Schizosaccharomyces pombe: one gene and its partners. The gene in region 2 interacts genetically with the main gene of each other region. Each region holds a gene or a part of one and is shown on either strand. Other genes may lie near its edges.

The links.
Region 1: mutations in ubc15 (region 2) and mpd2 together harm fitness less than expected from each alone (positive genetic interaction), as found in Schizosaccharomyces pombe (one large-scale study listed by BioGRID).
Region 3: mutations in ubc15 (region 2) and pmp31 together harm fitness less than expected from each alone (positive genetic interaction), as found in Schizosaccharomyces pombe (one large-scale study listed by BioGRID).
Region 4: mutations in ubc15 (region 2) and ppk27 together harm fitness more than expected from each alone (negative genetic interaction), as found in Schizosaccharomyces pombe (one large-scale study listed by BioGRID).

What each region holds. Positions count from the first base shown.
Region 1 is NC_003424.3:4,855,926-4,861,874, reverse strand, and holds mpd2 (GYF domain protein), read left to right. Parts: upstream 1-1,821; 5' UTR 1,822-1,906; coding exon 1,907-1,944; intron 1,945-2,061; coding exon 2,062-5,002; 3' UTR 5,003-5,145; downstream 5,146-5,949. Other genes in the region: wsp1 (actin assembly factor), read left to right, coding at 1-68, 119-251, 311-345; btf3 (nascent polypeptide-associated complex beta subunit), read left to right, coding at 643-688, 847-1,256; kinetochore protein fta1, read right to left, coding at 5,490-5,949. UniProt on the Schizosaccharomyces pombe protein: Has a role in mRNA export from the nucleus.
Region 2 is NC_003423.3:3,520,630-3,524,863, forward strand, and holds ubc15 (ubiquitin-conjugating enzyme Ubc15), read left to right. Parts: upstream 1-2,140; 5' UTR 2,141-2,245; coding exon 2,246-2,290; exon of another isoform or gene 2,291-2,372; coding exon 2,373-2,516; exon of another isoform or gene 2,517-2,519; intron 2,520-2,594; coding exon 2,595-2,624; intron 2,625-2,641; exon of another isoform or gene 2,642-2,700; coding exon 2,701-2,926; exon of another isoform or gene 2,927-2,996; coding exon 2,997-3,055; 3' UTR 3,056-3,516; downstream 3,517-4,234. Other genes in the region: EMP70 family endosomal transport protein Emp70, read left to right, coding at 79-1,769; RAVE complex subunit Rav1, read left to right, coding at 4,044-4,130. UniProt on the Schizosaccharomyces pombe protein: Catalyzes the covalent attachment of ubiquitin to other proteins. Has a role in the formation of chromatin structures that influence the localization of transcriptional silencing factors.
Region 3 is NC_003421.2:612,044-616,072, reverse strand, and holds pmp31 (plasma membrane proteolipid Pmp31), read left to right. Parts: upstream 1-2,108; 5' UTR 2,109-2,347; coding exon 2,348-2,445; exon of another isoform or gene 2,446-2,506; intron 2,507-2,508; coding exon 2,509-2,717; intron 2,718-2,767; coding exon 2,768-2,790; 3' UTR 2,791-3,313; downstream 3,314-4,029. Other genes in the region: wtf antidote-like meiotic drive suppressor Wtf10, read right to left, coding at 1-160, 330-468; rpl101 (60S ribosomal protein uL1), read left to right, coding at 3,523-4,029.
Region 4 is NC_003423.3:1,035,117-1,039,196, forward strand, and holds ppk27 (serine/threonine protein kinase Ppk27), read left to right. Parts: upstream 1-1,960; coding exon 1,961-2,666; intron 2,667-2,733; coding exon 2,734-3,269; downstream 3,270-4,080. Other genes in the region: rhn1 (RNA polymerase II transcription termination factor), read left to right, coding at 422-569, 618-718, 787-981, 1,029-1,748; chaperonin-containing T-complex theta subunit Cct8, read right to left, coding at 3,431-4,080.

The DNA of each region.
Region 1 (5,949 bases), on a different chromosome or scaffold from region 2:
AAGACGGCCGTGCTAATTTAATGGCCAGTATCAGAGCCAGCGGTGGTATGGATTTACTGAAAAGCAGGGTAAGTATTGATATTATTACTTAATGGTTACTCGTACTAATATTTTCCAGAAAGTATCTGCTTCTCCTAGTGTCGCATCTACAAAAACTTCGAATCCTCCGGTAGAAGCACCCCCTTCTAACAATCTTATGGATGCATTGGCAAGCGCTTTGAACCAACGTAAAACCAAAGTCGCTCAGAGTGGTATGTCCGGATTTCTCGTATTTTTTTTCAAAAGTTCTTAAGTTTACTAATTCTTTCAGACGAAGAGGATGAAGACGACGATGAGTGGGACTAGTTATTAATATCTTTGAAATTACCTATACTTTTTTGATTCACACAGTCTTTTAAAGTTTTGTTAAACGACTTCACTATTTTTATTTGGATTTGTGTTTATTGTATTAGAGCAAACACCATTTATTCTAAATTGAATAACGCGAATTTGTGTTGATATTACTATTCATATATCGCAACACAGTGTGTATCTTTACTTTATTGTAAGTATGGGAGCAGTCACACATTTCGGTACCACAACTTTAGAAACGTCAAGTTCAAGTCCTTCCACAACCAAAAACGTTTGGTCAAATAGAAACAAATGGATCCCTCCAAATTGGCTAAGTTGCAGGCTGGCGCTCGTATTGGTATGTTCGAATGCATCCCCGTGTTTTGAAGTTGACACCAGCTCTAAGAAATGCCTTGAACGGTTTCAAAGTGGTTCCACTGTAATTGATGCTGGCTATTGAAAACACAGTTGTACTTTTTTCATAGAGAACTGCTTAATTAACTTATCATTGTATAGGTGGAAAGGGTACCCCTCGTCGTAAGGTGAAGAAGCCTTCTAAGTCTGCCATGAGTGCTGCTGATGACAAGAAGGTTCAAGGTGCCTTGAAAAAGTTGAATATGCAAAACCTTGCTGGCATCCAAGAGGTTAACATGTTCAAGGAAGATGGCGGAGTCATTAATTTCCGTGCACCTACCGTTCATTCCTCGCTTCCTAATGAAACTACAGCTATCTATGGTAAAGCAGAGGAAAAGACTTTGTCTGAGATTTTGCCTGGCATTTTGAACAACCTTGGTCCTGAATCCTTGACTGCCCTTCGTCAAATGGCTGAGCAATTAAAGGTCAGTGAAGGTGAAAAGGGAGCTGATGCACAAGCCGACGATGGAGAAATTCCTGACCTTGTCGAAAAGTTTGACGAACAAGATTAAATAAGCAACAAAATATTTCATGTCGGATTTTTGACTCAAGATTTGGGTGCTAATATATGTAAAGTGACTATGGTATTATCAGTAATTTGAAAAATCGTAATTATGTAATTCGTAAGATAAAGATTTTAGCAAATTTAAGTGCAGTAAGCGAGGGATATACTGACGCTTTGTAAATGCACGTTGGCAAGGTACAAGAGGTCTCTCTTGTACTTGTTAAGGTTATACAATTCAACCATTTTCAATATATAGTTTTCTTTGATTAATTTGGTTAAAAAATCTTTGCTGTCATTTTCCTTATAAGTAAGCTTGGCAATAATCTTTTTAAAGATGGTTTGGACTTATTCAAGAATTGCGGAAATTAGCCTACGTTAAGCATTTACTTCGTATTGTTAATAGGAATCGCTAATTTCAATAAACTAAATTTTCGATGCGGCGTGGTAGGCAATTATTGCAGAACACCCACGTTCCACAGTAAGTGCATCTCCCCCACACGATTGTCGCCGCTACCCCCGCTCAGCTGTATTTGTCGTTATTTATTGCAACGGCGTTATTGTTACGTTTTTCCACCTAAAACCTTTACAACAAACAGATTTGCTGGTTGTTAAAAGATAACAAGGATTTTTTACTTTAAGAGAGAAAGTGCTAAAATTATGAATTCAGAAGCAAGTGTATTTAGTAATATGGATTGGTAAGTTTTTTTCCTGGGATTTACCACATTTTACGATTTTCAAAAAATTGCGTTTCTGATACGCTTGAAATACTTTGAGTTTCAAATTGCCTTGTACTAACAACTTATGTTTTGTAGGAGCCAGCTGGCACATTCGTTACATAAAAAAGCAAATAACTCGAGTTCTTCAACAACTGGTGCTTTTCCTCAGTTAACATCTTTTACTAAACCTACTGCCACAAATGGAGTGGATTCTCCTACATCGTCTCATATTGACCCTTCTGTTTCTGCAAAATTGGATTCACAAAGAAAACTGTCTTTAAAAAGTGGCAATATGTGGGACTCTTTAAATGCACCTTCTGAATTGACTAGCAAAAATCCTACAGTATCGTCAACAACCTCATCAGCAAACCCAGCCATTGTTTCAAATGGTGGTTCTCCTTTTTATAAAAATCCAGTTGTTGCAAATAATCCAAGTAGCACCTTTGATATGTCTACCAATTTGTTTAATTCTAAAAATGCCAACACCTCTTTTACAAACGCTTTTTCTAATGAGGGCATATCTCCTGGATTTTTAAGGGATTGTTTTCCATCCTCGAATTCTATAACAACGGGCACAGCTTCTCCCAAACTGGGGAGCCCTTTTAATCATATCAATCGTCCTGTATTAGATCGCAGCCCTTCTTCATTTTCTCAAAGTCGCTCAGCGGTTTCTGGTAATATGAATCCCGGTGTTGGGACTTTGCAACAGCCGCAGCGTGCTGGTTCTGATACTTTTCCTGACTTGAACACTTCTTCAAGCAATCAACCAGGTGGGGAACCGAATGTTGCTTCAGCTAATACTCATTCTCTTGAAATTCTATCAAGCTCTGCTTACCATCCTTCTGGATCATCAAATGGAATATCTGCAGGTTTAACACAATCCGTGGCTTCTCCTGTTGGACAGGTTGATAATCTCGCAGATTTCTCTCAGTCCCCACTACGCAGAGGTCCATCTCGATTTCCCACTAATTCCAACGTTCCAGTGGGAAATTCAATGAGTATTAGAGACACTGATTCTCCACTAAATATTCTTGTTGATAAGGCCAAAGCTAAAGCATCTATTAAAGAGAACGCGTCCCAACCTGTTGCACCAAGCGCATCTCAACGTGAGCATTCTGCTGTCAATAGTCCTGCGGCTGCTATGTCTCCCTCTACAGCTATGTTTTCTTCGGAGGCGTTTCCTCAGCACTTGGCTTCGTTAATTCCTCCCGCTCTTCTGCATTGGCTTTATAAAGACCCTCAAAATAATGTCCAAGGCCCCTTTACTGGAGTAGATATGCATCAATGGTATAGAGCTGGTTATTTTCCTCTTGGCTTGCCAATAAAGAGGCTAGAAGAAGAAGAGTATTACTCTCTTGCCTTTTTTATTCGTCAGGTGGGCAACCAGTTGGAACCCTTCTTGGTTCCTCTATCACCTGTAACTGTTCAAAACGCCTCTTGGAATGCTCAAGGAACCGATCTTCCTTTGAGCAATTATCTTCCGGAGAGCTCTGAACAAAATAGAGGTGGAAACAAACACCTTGAATTATATCCCAGTACTGCGGAAGTTTCAAATGTTAGAAATGATGAATCAAAAGCAAACTCGTTATCTGAGATTTCCTATAATCAGCAATCCGAGTGCCGAAGTTCTGAGCTCAATGTTAATGAAGACAGTGCTAACCAAAAGGAGGAATCGGCCCTTGGTACTTCTGACAACTCTGATATGTATGAAAAAGAAAACACTCCCATTCATCATAATGAATCGTTAAATCAATTGTCAAAAGATCTCGGTTCTATCAGTCTCTCTGAGGAAACTAAGCAAGAAAAGCCGTCGAAGCTTAAGGAAACTGTTGAATCGAAAAGACTTTCTACGGGTGTGCAAAAACAGTCTCCTGCAGCTTCGAAAGAAATCCCCGTTACTAGCGGATCACAAACTACGGCTCCAAAGCCTTCTCCTTGGAAATCTCTTCCTCCTAAGCATTTACCTTCTCTCGATGAGACTATAAGTAGGGAAATGAGTATTGCTAGTTCTGAAGCGCTTCCTCAAGTTGAAAAATCTAACAGCGATCAACCACCTGTCGCCATTCCTAGCACTTCAAAAACCGGTTCACCTTGGGCTAAAGTTAGTGATGTGTCTACTTCAATGGCTCAAGAAATTCAACGCATGGAAAAACAAAATGAGAATTTGAAAAGCAAAGTTGCTTCCAATCCTGTTTCACAAACTTCCACAAATGCCAAAGCTTCCACACCAGCTCTTGCTTCAGGCTCCATTTGGGGAAGCCCGTCTGTAATAAATGCGTGGGCCAACAAGCCAGCTGCTCTCAAGTCTCCGTTGATAAAGAAAAATATTCAGCAAGCTGAGCTTGCCCAAAACAAACAGCAATCTTCCGTTACTACTGCCAGTCCTCGTTCTAATGCATTAAATGCTAACACTCCAAAGGCAGCTGCCCCTTCTAGTAATGTTACAATGAAAAATGTAACATCTATATTAGAAACCTCTACGTTCGAAGGCGAGGATACATGGTCTGTAGTTGGACCTGGTGGGAAAATCGTTAATCAGCAATCTCCTTCTGCTCAACAAACGACTCGTTCTCCCTCTAAAGTTTCGGCTACATTAAATGCTGGTAATTCTCAAGCATCTACTTCATCAAAATTACAACAAGTTGTGTCAATGTCGGGTCATTCGCCGGACTTTTTAGCATGGTGCAAGATTTCTTTGAAAGGTTTGAATGAAGGTGTTAATTACGAAGAATTTCTCGATATGTTACTTTCTTTGCCAGCTGAAAATAATGTTGAAACTTTTGAGATTATCTCGGATTCCATTTATGCTAATAGTACTATTATGGATGGACGTCGCTTTGCTAGTGAGTTTACTCGCCGTCGTATAGCCGATTTAACTGGCAAAGATGGGCAACAATCTAACAATAAGTCTCAATCAGAGTTGGGTAACTCTAGTGGTGCTTGGAGTCAGGTTGTTCGTAACAAGCCAAAGCAAGGTACTGAATGGAATTCGGCGTTTAAAGTGGTTACTAGTAAAAAAAACAAAAAGCGGGTATAATTTGAATCTTTTGAGTTGATGTTTTGTGATCTTGCATGGATACAATAAAAATCGGTTTCGGTTGTATAATATTGGAGTGCTAAAAATTTTAAGTTAATAATCCATATTTCAAATATATATAATATTTGTACATTTGTTGAACTTGTATTGTTAAGCTGGTGAACGAACAATGTAGAGGTTATAAGTGTTCTTGACCAGTTCTTACTAAACCGATTTTGTAGTACACAAATTTATTATGGAGGATACTGTAGTTAACTATTATGTAATTTTAAAAAAAAAATACTACCAAAATATTATTATTCTAGTTTAACATAATTTTAACTTAATGGTATTTTTAGTGCTAAATATAAATATAACGGCAAACTGATCAGTCAATTTGCATTCACGTATTTAGGAGCAAGTGTATCATTTCTTTGACATAAATGTAAAGCTGGCATGAAGGAAAGAGGCTCAACGCATAGTGACAAACTTAAACCCTTATAATTCATTAATACTCGGGCAATTGCATGGGCTCAAGGGCTAACAAAACATCAAATACAATATTTTGAGCTTTAGAAAAGATTTTCAGCTTGCCGGACGATGTTAGAATGGCACAATCAGTGTTCACTTTGGAAAGTGAGAATACTGAGTTTGTCAAATCTAAAGAAGTACACCTTTTGATATGTTCCATAAGAATTGGGTAGAAAAATGAGGAGCTACGGAAAATTTTTTTTAAATCTTCAGGTCTTATGGAAATTGTGACTGATGAAAGATTAGGATTTCCGGTTGTCCAGGTCAACTCAAGCGGGAGGGCTGTTTGACTATTTACATGATTTTGCCAAATTTTCAAAAACTCTAAAAGTATTTCTGGAGCAATTAGGCATGGTAAAATTTGTGTATCAAATTCCTGCTGGAGGAACTGCTCAACGGCCATCCATAGCGCCCCATCCATACGAACAAGAGCTAAT
Region 2 (4,234 bases):
ACACTATAGAAATATGATTTAATGAAGGATATAACATTTTCTCTCGAACTTTTTTGCTTGTTACTAACTTCACTTTAGACTACGATGAGCGTTTCCACTTCTGTCGACCAGAGAATATCGCAAAACAATCTGAGTCACTTGGAAGTGTGCTTTTTGGCGACCGTCTCTACAACTCTCCCATTGAAATAAAAATGCTTGAAAACCAGGATTGTGTTCCCTTGTGTGCCTCGATAATTCCCAGTTCAGATGTCAGTTTTATTAGAGATTTAATCTCCAAAAACTACGTTGTTAACTGGAACATAGATAATCTGCCCGTAGCAACATATTTAGAAGGGACTAACTCAAAGAACTACTCATTATCGCCAGGCTTTCCATTAGGCAAGAATACGGAGAAGGGAGTAATTCTATTCAATCATTATGATATAGTTATAGAATATCATACGACATCTAGTGACCAACACCGTGTTGTGGGTGCTTATGTAAAACCTGTCTCAAAGGAGTCTACTTTAGTTGATGGAAACCCAGTTTGTTCTTCGTCTTCAAATCCACAGTATTTACCGGAAGGAGCTGATCTTACTCTCGTGACCTCTTACTCAGTCTCTTGGAAATATTCCGATACTCCATGGGCTACCCGATGGGACAAATATATGCACATTGAATCTAGGCAAATTCGATGGATCTTTATTATCCATTCCGCAATTATTGACACATTTCTAATTTTTGTGGTTTCTATTATTTTGTACAGAACGCTAAATCGTGACATTAATAAATATAATAGCGCCTTTGTCGATCAAGAAGATGTTCAAGAAGATTTTGGTTGGAAGCTAGTTCATGGTGATGTATTTCGTCCACCTCGTAGACCCATGCTATTTTCTATCCTTTTAGGGACTGGTGCACAACTTCTTTTTATGAGCTCTGGTATCGTTTTATTTGCAATTTTTGGCATTGTTGCACCCTCTCGTCGTGGAAGTTTAGCTACAGCAACGGTGGCCTTATTCATTATATCAGGTTTCGTTTCTGGTTATGTATCTGCATTATCCTACAAACTGATGCAAGGTATGCTTAGAAAGCGAAATCTTCTGTTAACTCCTTTTGTCGTACCTGGTTTTATGCTTGCGGCAGCTCTTTTCTTTAACATGGTATTTTGGAGTAAAAGTTCATCATCAACTGTACCCTTTTCAAGCTGGCTTCTACTCATTTTCCTGTATCTATTGTTTACTGTACCATTAAGCTTTGTCGGTTCTTTAATCGGCTTTCGTTCTCGAGAGTTCGTCCCACCTGTTAGGACAAACCAAATCCCTCGTCAAATTCCATCTCATAGTATTTGGCTTTCGAGTTTTCCTAGTGCGATTATCGGTGGATCTATACCATTCCTCGTAATCCTTATTGAATTGTTTTCTATCCTTGACAGTTTATGGTTTCACCCATTGTATTTCATGTTCGGTTTCTCGTTCTTTTGCTTCGGTATTTTAGTAACCACTTGTATCATGGTTTCCATTATCACTGTTTATTTCCAATTGTGTTCCGAAAACTACAACTGGTGGTGGCGCTCTTTCATAACACCTGGATTTTGTGGAATCTATGTATTTATATTTTCAGTATTTTACTGGTTTTTTAAAATCTCATCATCTTCCCTTGCTACTGCCGTTCTTTATTTCGGCTATAGTTTACTGATTTCTGTTTTGGTATTTTTCTTATGTGGATCGGTTGGTTTCTTTGGCGCCTTTCTCTTTGTTAACAAAATTTATGCGTCCATTAAAATTGATTGATTATTCGAGGCATTTGTACATACCTCTTTATTTATTGTTCAATTTGAGCTTTCTCCGTTACAAACCTTATTAATCAACAAAATGACTTGGAGAACACTCTCTTTTATATTCAAATAATTTCATAGGAATATGCCGTTTTTTTTCGGTCATCCAATATATAACTACAGTTTGTTTTACTTTGTGTAATAAAACCTTAGGTACTATATCATAGAAGAAATTTGAAAATTGTAATCTTAACCAAAATGTTTACTTAGAGTAAATTAAATTTATGTTTTCTACGTTAAAAGCTTTATTATATGTTACATAAATAATACAAAAAAGGAATATTACTCTAACTATATTTACGAAGCTCGCCCAAACCTTTTTCAACTACCAGTATTTCGCCTTCAGCTCAACCCTACTTTAAAAATTGTCTTTATATTACTTTTTCTCAGTTTACCAAATATTTAGAACGTAATTATTAAAATATCGGAAGTATGCCTTCTTCTGCTAGTGAACAACTTCTTCGAAAACAACTAAAGGTAAGCGCACGAAATCTTCATATCCAAATATTCATGATTGTACATAGTATCTTAATTCTTGAACACATACTGATAGATATAGGAAATTCAAAAAAATCCTCCACAGGGTTTTAGCGTTGGTTTAGTCGATGATAAATCCATTTTTGAATGGGAAGTTATGATCATTGGACCAGAAGATACATTATATGAAGGTGGTTTTTTCCATGCAACATTATCGTTTCCTCAAGTATGTATTTATGTTTCACAGAAAAATAATATTTGTTGTATAAGGTAAACAAGCTGGTCACTAACCTCGAAAAATTAGGATTATCCTCTGATGCCTCCAAAGATGAAGGTATAGTAAATACATTGATTTTTTAATTGATAGAAACTACATAGTCTATGCCTAAAAACGATTCTAACGGTAACAGTTCACAACGGAAATTTGGCACCCTAATGTTCATCCGAATGGCGAAGTTTGCATATCGATTCTTCACCCACCAGGAGATGACAAGTATGGATACGAGGATGCTGGAGAACGTTGGCTTCCGGTACACTCTCCGGAAACCATATTGATTAGTGTAATTTCCATGCTTTCTTCCCCTAATGATGAGTCCCCTGCCAATATAGATGCTGCCAAGGAATTTCGAGAAAATCGTGAGTATATACTAACCTACAAACAAAAAAATTTACTCTTTAATAATCAAATCGTACTAACTTTTTCCAGCACAAGAATTTAAGAAAAGAGTTCGTCGACTTGTTCGCAGGTCAATTGAAATGATTTGAAGATAATGTTCAACCTAGGTCCCTAATTTCCTATATTTAGAAAAAAGGCTATGAAGGAAATTCAAGTCGCTGCATAGAAAACCTCCTAAGTCAACTAGCAGTAAAGCTTACTCAAAAAGTCTGTAGCTTTACAAGTTGAATTGCATATTTTATGCCATCTTTGAAGTATTGCCGTTGCCCATTTTTTGAATAAGTTTAGCAAACTGTTCATTTATTATCACATATAATGAAATATTGGCAGAACGGTTGACATTTTAAAACTAACAGCTTTTGATTCTTTTCTGTTTTTATTATAAAGCTTTCAAGTTTTTCAAGTGTTACAACCGCAAGTGATTTATCCTACTTCTTTACCAATTACAGCCATAATTTAGATAAACAACAAATAAAAATCTACATTTCACGATTGAATTTTTTTCTTTGAACAAACGTCAGCTAATACTTCGTGAATTGATAGTTTTCCATTGAAAATTTTCTATTCAAGTAATTATTTTCGCTTATACGCTCATACTTTATCAGCGACGGTTTCAATTCCGCGTTTTGCACAACATACATTGAATGCAGCGATAAATCTCAGTCTATTATATTTTACACTAACTAGCTCAATGTCTCCTACGTATCCGAATGACTGATTCAATGATTAATCAAACCAATTAAAGAATCTAGCGAAACTTCGTTGAGTTTGAAAATTAAATACTCAGAGTAACCATTTAAGATGAATATTAAAATTGCATTAAGAACCGTGAAAGCATTGCCTTTTCATTTAGCGTTTTTTTATTGCATTATGCTTAAACTTTTCAGAATGACAATTAATATTACGCTATTCCGCAGTATGGTGGTGTTCACACTGGTTCAAATGCGTATATGGAACGTAGACAGCTATTAGGTCAAATCAGATATTAATAGCTTTTATCATTGTCATTTCTCCCTTAACTATTTGCAAGTCGAAAAAAATCCAATTTTAGCTCATGCACAGCGTTCTGCAGTAAACATGCCTCTGGCATTCACAAATCCCGGTACACCTCTAAAACGTACAGCTGCCTACGACAATGTACAATGGAACCAAAATCGAATATTAGTAAGTGAATGGACGCAAACGATATGCGTTTGTCTGCTAGTGGTTAAACTGCAGAACGAAAGCAGCATGTCAAAGTATTGTTTCCAATTGAAGTAATTGTTTAA
Region 3 (4,029 bases), on a different chromosome or scaffold from region 2:
GCGTCCTTATACTTTAGATAACAAACTGCTGGAGCATTGAATAGAATGATTGAAGTGAATGATATTAGCAGTTTTATCAACAAAGGGGAAGAATTATCTGTCGACCTGGAAGGATTGTTTTCTCTATGTGTGTTAGGAGAATTGCTTAAACGTGCATGATCTGTTTAAATTAATATGATTGAAAGACTTTAGTTAAGAAAAAGCATGTATCAAAGTGTGTGCATTGCATGGCCAACTGTAAACAATGATCACATCCAAGTTATTTTACAGCAATGGCAAGTTACAACTTTCAATTGAATAATTCCTTTCTTATTATTTACAATTCTTACCTGAATATAGAGGTAATGCGCCTTCTTCCTTTGAATCATATTCTGGGAGTAGCCCTTTTTCCAAATCGATTTCATGATCTGTCTTCAATTCATCTTCCTCATCTATAGAACTTTTCAAGGAAGTGCAATTATTCTTCATTTCATCAAGATCATTCTTTATTTAATAAAACACATGCGCGAATTAATTGCTATGATTGCGACAAACGAAACAGCAAAATCAAGAATATTCACTCTGGAGTTCAGTTCCCGCCGTTCAATATAAATAAATGAACAATACTCGTTTCAAAGCAAACTGTTTCTTCAATAATAGCAAGTGAAAAGTAGATTTCCAAAACTCATTTTAGTGTAATTGCTTCTGACACATTTATTTTGTCACTGCCCTTTTTATTCACCCTAACTTAGCTTTCCTTATGCATTAATAGAGATCTCGAAGTATTTTGTTACTGTGTAATAAAATATGACACTACAAGTCACTTCGCAAATCATGTCAATTACGCAGTTTGGTATTTGTTTAACGATACGTAGAACTTGTGGTTAGTTTTCCTTATGATCATATATTGCATTACACAGGTAATGCAAGTAGCAACTTGGTAAATGTATTCTAGTATGTAGGTTTCATTGCTACCTATCACTTAATCTAACTTATAACTGAACTTCGTTCCTCAGTTTAGTTGATCAGAATTTACAATATTGAAAAAGGCTTGGTAGTCATATTACCATGGATGATATTATAATTTGTTTGATAACTTATCATATAAAGTAAATGAAGCAAACAGGACATTAGAACATGTGACATATAGTGATATGTAGCGTAGTGTAATATTATAGTGCAGTATTGCTGATAGCAATGTAGTTAAATAACGATACGCTCTTTCTAATACCGTATTTTAAGATGTTGGCGTTAGTAAAACGCTCATTTTAGACATCGCACTAATAAATCACTATTTAATAAACAAAGGTGAGATGGGTGTAAGCAGAACAAAATGGAGAGAACACGATAATTTTTAGTTTCCTTTATTGTTTGCTGTTCATATAGTATCAATAAATTGCTGCCATGATAAAGCGAAATGTTGTGGTACCTTTTCAATTGATATGTAAGCACATCGCAGTGACTAATACGTATTGCAAATGCATAGTATGAAAGTAATGGAATATTTATGAAGTGTTCTTTTTTTTAACGTTAAGAAAGTCAATCGACTTTGGTTAAGTACCTGCATGTTTTGCTGCATTCATATTGACGAATTGGAAAAGCGTTATTATTTTAGTTAGTGATAGTATCAAAAAGTAGCTATTAATACTATAATTCTGAAGAGTTAGTATTCATAAAGGATTTTTTGATCCTGTCTTATTTCCTTAGTAAAGTATAATGTAAACGAGGTTGATCAAGTACCTATTGTTAAAGAACGAGTATGAGAGGACATTGGGTTCAATAATCATGTAAGCGAGATAATATAGGTAGATTGTAAAAATTTTAGTACCCATATTTAGACAAGGAAATAACTAGATTTTGTTAACCGAGATATTGGATGAAACAATTTAAACAAAAGCCAAGGTTTTTTCATGGTTAAAATTTTTAACGCCATTAACTCTTTCATTGGGGCTCTCTGATCTAATGGAATGTCCCGAATATTGATAGGCACTTCAAATCAAATATCGGATTCTATTATCTCAATTGTCTTGTGCACTATGTTTTCTTCGTTCTTTACGCCTTTTGTTTACATCTGTGTTGGCTTGGCACTCAGTGAGGCTGAATTTCGTCATTCACCATACTTGTCTTTTACCAGCAACATACCTATAAAAGCAATTAACAACGTTTACTAACTGAACCTACTTTAAAGCCTTTTTGGATCTTAAGTAAACGGATTTCGTTGTTCTTGGATCGTTCTGTTTTCTGATTTTTTGGGTTTTCAAATATATCTCGTCGGTTTTAAAAAAATCCACCAACTGAATCATTATTTGCTTCTTTTCTTACTTTAACACTTTTTTACCTTTTTTAAACTCTGTGTGCATCACTCAAAATGTCGAATGTTACACTTAGTGACTTTTTATTAATTGTTCTCTCCTTCTTTGTTCCTTTCATCGTGGTAGGCATTCGAAGGGGCTTTTGCACCGCAGAGTATGTTTTCCTCCAGGCTTTTTTGCTGTCTTTTCCTTTTCAACGTCGCTGACTTTATTTTAGTTTTCTAATCAACATTTGCTTGTGCGCTTTAGGCATTCCTGGAATCATCCATGCAATTTACATAGTTATTAAGTACCCAAGAACGGTTCGTTTGGATATTGAGAACTCTCCCAACGATCCCCTCGTTCGTTATACTCCTAATCCAGAACATGCCGTATCTCCTCATTCAGGTCCTGCTCCTCCTTCCTACTCGTCTTTAGCCTCAAACGGTATGCCTTAACTTGTTCTCATTCTTAATTTTTTTACTAACTTTAAAAAGACAACAAACATCAATCACCTTAAGAGCAAAAATGTTTGAAATATTTCGATGCGCTACTTTCTTTCTTACTATTTTGCAATAAGCGTATTTATTGAGCATTTCCGCCAATCAAGATGGTTTCGTTATGGAAGCATCTTTTTTCATATGTTTTCCTCCTATGTGTTTGTAATCTTTATTTATAATAAATTGCCTCTCTGTTTTTTTACAGGTCGATGGGCCCAGCTTGATGCTTCAATGTTTCATTGAAGATTTATATAAATATGCTCGCTTGATTATGATCTTTCTTGGATACAGGATACTTATTACTGTCCTCATTGCTTTCAATAAAGTTGATGCATATCTATAGTTACGATAAACTTGATCTTATACTGTGGGGTAATTCACTTGTATAAATTTTTCAATGCCTTTGGACTAGTCACTAATTAATATGATATGTATTTTCAAATATTCCAGGTCATAAATATTCTCCAAATTAATCCTTGTACTTTAATTCCAACACTAAGATTGATTTCCTTCAACATCTTTACCGTATAACGATGTGCATCACCCGTATACGTAACAATAGTCTAATGATACTTAGTTTGCACCTCCTTATTCTAAATTTCCTTGGAAGTAGTAAGTATGCATGTTCATATACTAGACCCTACCCTAATGCTAATTATTTCTTAAATGTGACTGTCATTCTACTGCAACACAAACGATGAAATTTCAGTAGCTGAAATCCTCACGCATCCGCACAACACCAGCATTGCACCATGTCTAAGGTCAGCGTTGCCTCGGTCCGCTCTAACGTCGAGCAAATTCTCAAGGGCTCTGAAGAGAAGAAGCGTAACTTCACTGAGACTGTCGAGCTTCAAATTGGTTTGAAGAACTATGACCCTCAACGTGATAAGCGTTTCTCCGGTACTATCAAGTTGCCCAATGTTCCTCGTCCCAACATGGCCATTTGCATTCTCGGTGATGCCCATGATTTGGATCGTGCCAAGCACGGTGGTGTCGATGCTATGTCCGTCGATGACTTGAAAAAGCTTAACAAGAACAAGAAGCTTGTCAAGAAGTTGGCCAAGAAGTATGATGCTTTCATTGCTTCTGAAGTCCTCATCAAGCAAATTCCTCGTCTGTTGGGTCCCGGTCTTTCCAAGGCTGGTAAGTTCCCTTCCCCTGTCTCCCATGCTGACGACCTTTACGGTAAAATCACCGAGGTTAAGTCCACTATCAAGTTCCAATTGAAGAAGGTCCTTTGCCTTGGTGTTGCTGTCGGC
Region 4 (4,080 bases), 2.5 Mb from region 2:
ATAGTTTCTTTTCATAATCCCCAACATATAACATCACAAGATTTCGTCTAGCATTCTTACCAAAACTCGTACTGTAAATGTTACAGTGAGTGATAGCCGTTAGCTAAGATGACCTGCTGAGACTAAACAAAATCATGAGAAAACGAATAATGTATTTTATATACCTAATATTTAAGAGGGAATCTTGGAGAAAACTGGGTAGTTTGAGAATAATAAATGTTCTTTTCCATCTTTACAAATGAGACGAAGATTTTTGCTCTACCCAAACTAATTAATCTGTTGTTTCAAAATCATTTTAAGTATAGGCTATAATGTAAAACATTGATATTATACAAGAAGTATTTATTACTTATGCTTATGATTTCGTTTGCGATGCTAACAGCAGTGTGTCGTAAGAAACTCACCATCAGCATAAAACAAGATGGCTTTGACTCCAGACACTGTTTCTTCAAAGTTGGCTACTCTAAATGAAACACAAGAAAGTATAACGGGAATAGCGCATTGGGTTATGTTTCACAAGCGTTATGCTGATGAAATTGTCCAAATATGGCTGGAAGCTTTGTATGAATGTATGACTCCTTTAGGAATTTGTTCGATTGTCTAACTAATTTAACCAGCTTCTTCCAACAAAAAGCTTTTATTGCTTTACCTGCTCAACGAAGTCGTTCAACAATCCCGGGTCAAAAAAATATCTGAATATATTGATGCCGTTTCTCCAGTAAGTTACTATCATTATGAGCTTGGAACATCTCCTATATGGTTTAGATTCTAATAATATTTGCATAGTATGTCGTAAACTCTGTAGCTGACGCGTACGCGTCAGTTCCTGCTTCCATTAAAACAAAAATCAAATACGTTTTTGACGTTTGGTGTCAACGCGGCATATTTTCTAAGGAGATACTTTTATCCTTGCAGGAAAGGTTTAATAATGCCGAGAACAGTGGCCATTCTAACTATTACCCCGTTGGCCCTCCGGAATGGGTATGCCGCAATTCAAATAAAATATCAGAACTTTACTAATTGCATAGGCACCTTACACTCGTTTAATGACACAAACTAGTTTATACGCAAAATCTGCTCACTCTACCAAAACTGTGGTAGATGCATTGTATAAATCATACTTGGAGAAACAATCAGATTATTCTGAACTACTCGATAATTATAAAAAGCAACTAAATAAAGCCTCTGAATCATGTAAAGGTAATTATCAGGCTTGCATCGAATCCCGATCCACACTCATTACTTCCTTGGAATCGCTTATAGAAGAACAAAAAAAGCTACTTTCAGAGGAAGAAGAGAGCCTAAAATCTGTTGAATCCATAATTTCTAATTTAGAGAATAAGGAAAGTACAACAGCTACCTCTACCTTGACCGATGCAGGTTTTGGAGATAAAAGTTCTACTGCTGGCAAACATAATGTAGAAACAACATCACCTCCGTCTAGTTCTCCAAACAGTGATGATGCTTATTCTCCTCAAGTAGATTCTTACTCTCCAAGCATTAACAGCGTACCATATACTTCCAATATTGTCGAAAATCCATCTGAAGACAATCTCTCTCCTCTTCCTCCTCCTGCCAGTGGACCCTATTCCCAAGAAGAAGAAGAAACATCATTATTTAAAAGCCAGAGAAAAGAAGAAAATGAAGAGGAATCTAAAGAATTACCAGAAGACTCAGATATCTATGGAAAAGATAGTTCTCCCTCTTCGGACGACTCTAGTGCAGCTGGTCTATATGGTGATAGCTGAAATCCATGAAATGTAATGCTTAGTTTTCATTATTTTTCTTTTTTTTTTTAAACTGTCAATCAATGTGGCAGTCTTAGTCAATAAGCATTTTTAGAATACCTATCCTAACCTTTTATATGCGTCAGTACCTGACTTCATCCTATCGAAGCCGTTTTTGGAATTTTGTATATTTCGAAGAAAGTTGAGCCCTATCTAGGAAGAATGGGCTTTTAATGTCTGAAAAAAAACATTCTTGCGAAGAAAAATCGCTGCAACTATATCCTCTTTCAAATAAAATTCGTCATGTAAATCCGAATATTTCAGCTCTTCCGTCTGAGACTGATATATCTGAATCATTGACGAACGATTTAACTAAACTAGAAATTTCTAACTATGCTCCATTTAATAGAGATTTAGAGACTTTTTCCGATTTAATTTTTGGCTTAACTAATATACAAAAAAAATCATTGTATTCTCTTCAATTAGGCAGAAGTAGAGGATATGCTTTATATTCAGACGAGAATGAGAAATATTTGTGGTCTATAAATACTAAAATCACCTCTACGGAACAAAGGGAAGTACTGCTTGTCAAATCTAATAATAAGAAGTTTGATACTTCCATCGTCCTAAAACATACTCACTTATCATCCAAGTCTCAAAACGAAAAAAAAGCTAGAGTAAAAGTATTTCGGCAAGAAATTTGGGCCCTCAAAACTTTGTCGCATCCATGTGTTGTGCAGCTATTAAATTACTACGTTTCCTCCGCCGAATTAATACTCGTAGAGAATTATTGTATGGGAGGAGATCTCTATCATTACACTAAAAAACATCATTCGGATTTCAGCCTTGAATTTGTTGGGCGAATTTTTTCTGAGTTAGTACATACAGTTGCTTACCTTCATTCCAAATGTTTGATTCATAGAGATTTAAAACTTGAAAGTAAGCTCGATGAATAAGGATTTTCAACTTTTACAGTTATGATTTTAAACTAACACTTTGTCTTTAGATATATTGCTTACCCAACCTTATAATGTTATAAAGACGATTGATAATTGGAAGAACTACCCAAATGCTTTAATTCAGATTTCTGACTTTGAGCTTTCTATTTTTGTTGACAGTAAAAATCATTTAGTGCAATCCAGCTGCGGCAGCCAAGAATATGCACCACCGGAAGTTTATATGGGTATTGCACATGATGGATTTCGCGCGGACGCTTGGTCTCTCGGAATAGTTTTATTTGCACTATTAGAGGGTCGTCTTCCCTTTGACTCCTACCCAACTTTGGATCCTGAGAATGTAAGGATCAAACGTTATGTTCAAAGGCTTGTAAGATGTGATTATACATGGCACTTATGCAAATCGCCATTCAAAAGATCTACTGGAAATACTAATGATAACGACGATCCTTCATGGCGGTTCCGCTTATTTGTGAAAAAACTTCTCAAAAATAGAGACCAGCGCAGCACACCGACTGAATTGTTAAAAGATTTTAATAAACATGGCAACTTTACTTTACCGTTATTAGAGAACGTTACGATTTAGAGACCTTTAATGATAAATGTCTTACTTCAATGGATTATGTCTGTACCTAATTATTTTGATAACGCGCTTTTAATTTCAATAGAAAATTAGTAGCAGATTTTTACAAAAACTATTCATCGTTTTAATCCAATCCTAGTAGAAAAATGAAACTCACTTAAATTTTAATCATCATCCCAATGAGGGTTGGGGCCAGGTGGTTTTGGACCTCCAGCTGGTTTAGACATAACAACTTGATCAACGTTTAAAACAGTGAGTACAGTTTCAGTTGCTAATCTAATTGCTGATTTTTTTGCTAATAAAACATCAAATATACCAGCTTCTTTCGCATCTAATGTTCCATCATTTTCACATTCAACATCAACTCCAATTGATTCACCGTTTTCCTTATGATGGGCAGCATAAAGTTTGCTAATAACATCAGTAGGATCTAATCCAGCGTTTTCTGAAATAGTCCTAGGAACAACCTCAAATGCTTCTCCATACTGTTTGATTGCATGTTGATATATACCAGGAGTTTTTTCACCAACTGAAATTAGACGAATACAGAGTTGCATATCACTAGCTCCAGCACCAAAGATTAAACGGTTATCTTTGACCAAAGCTTTTACGATATTTACACCATCATCAATCGCTCTTTCCAAATCATCCAAGTATGTCTTAGTAGCCCCTCGAAGCACGATTGTTGCAGTACGTGTAATATCCTCAACTTGACGGAATACAGTGACACGATCACCACCAATCTCAATCGTCTCAACAACATCGACGGATCCCATCTCTTCAGGCATGGGAACACCCATACGAGCCAACGGGG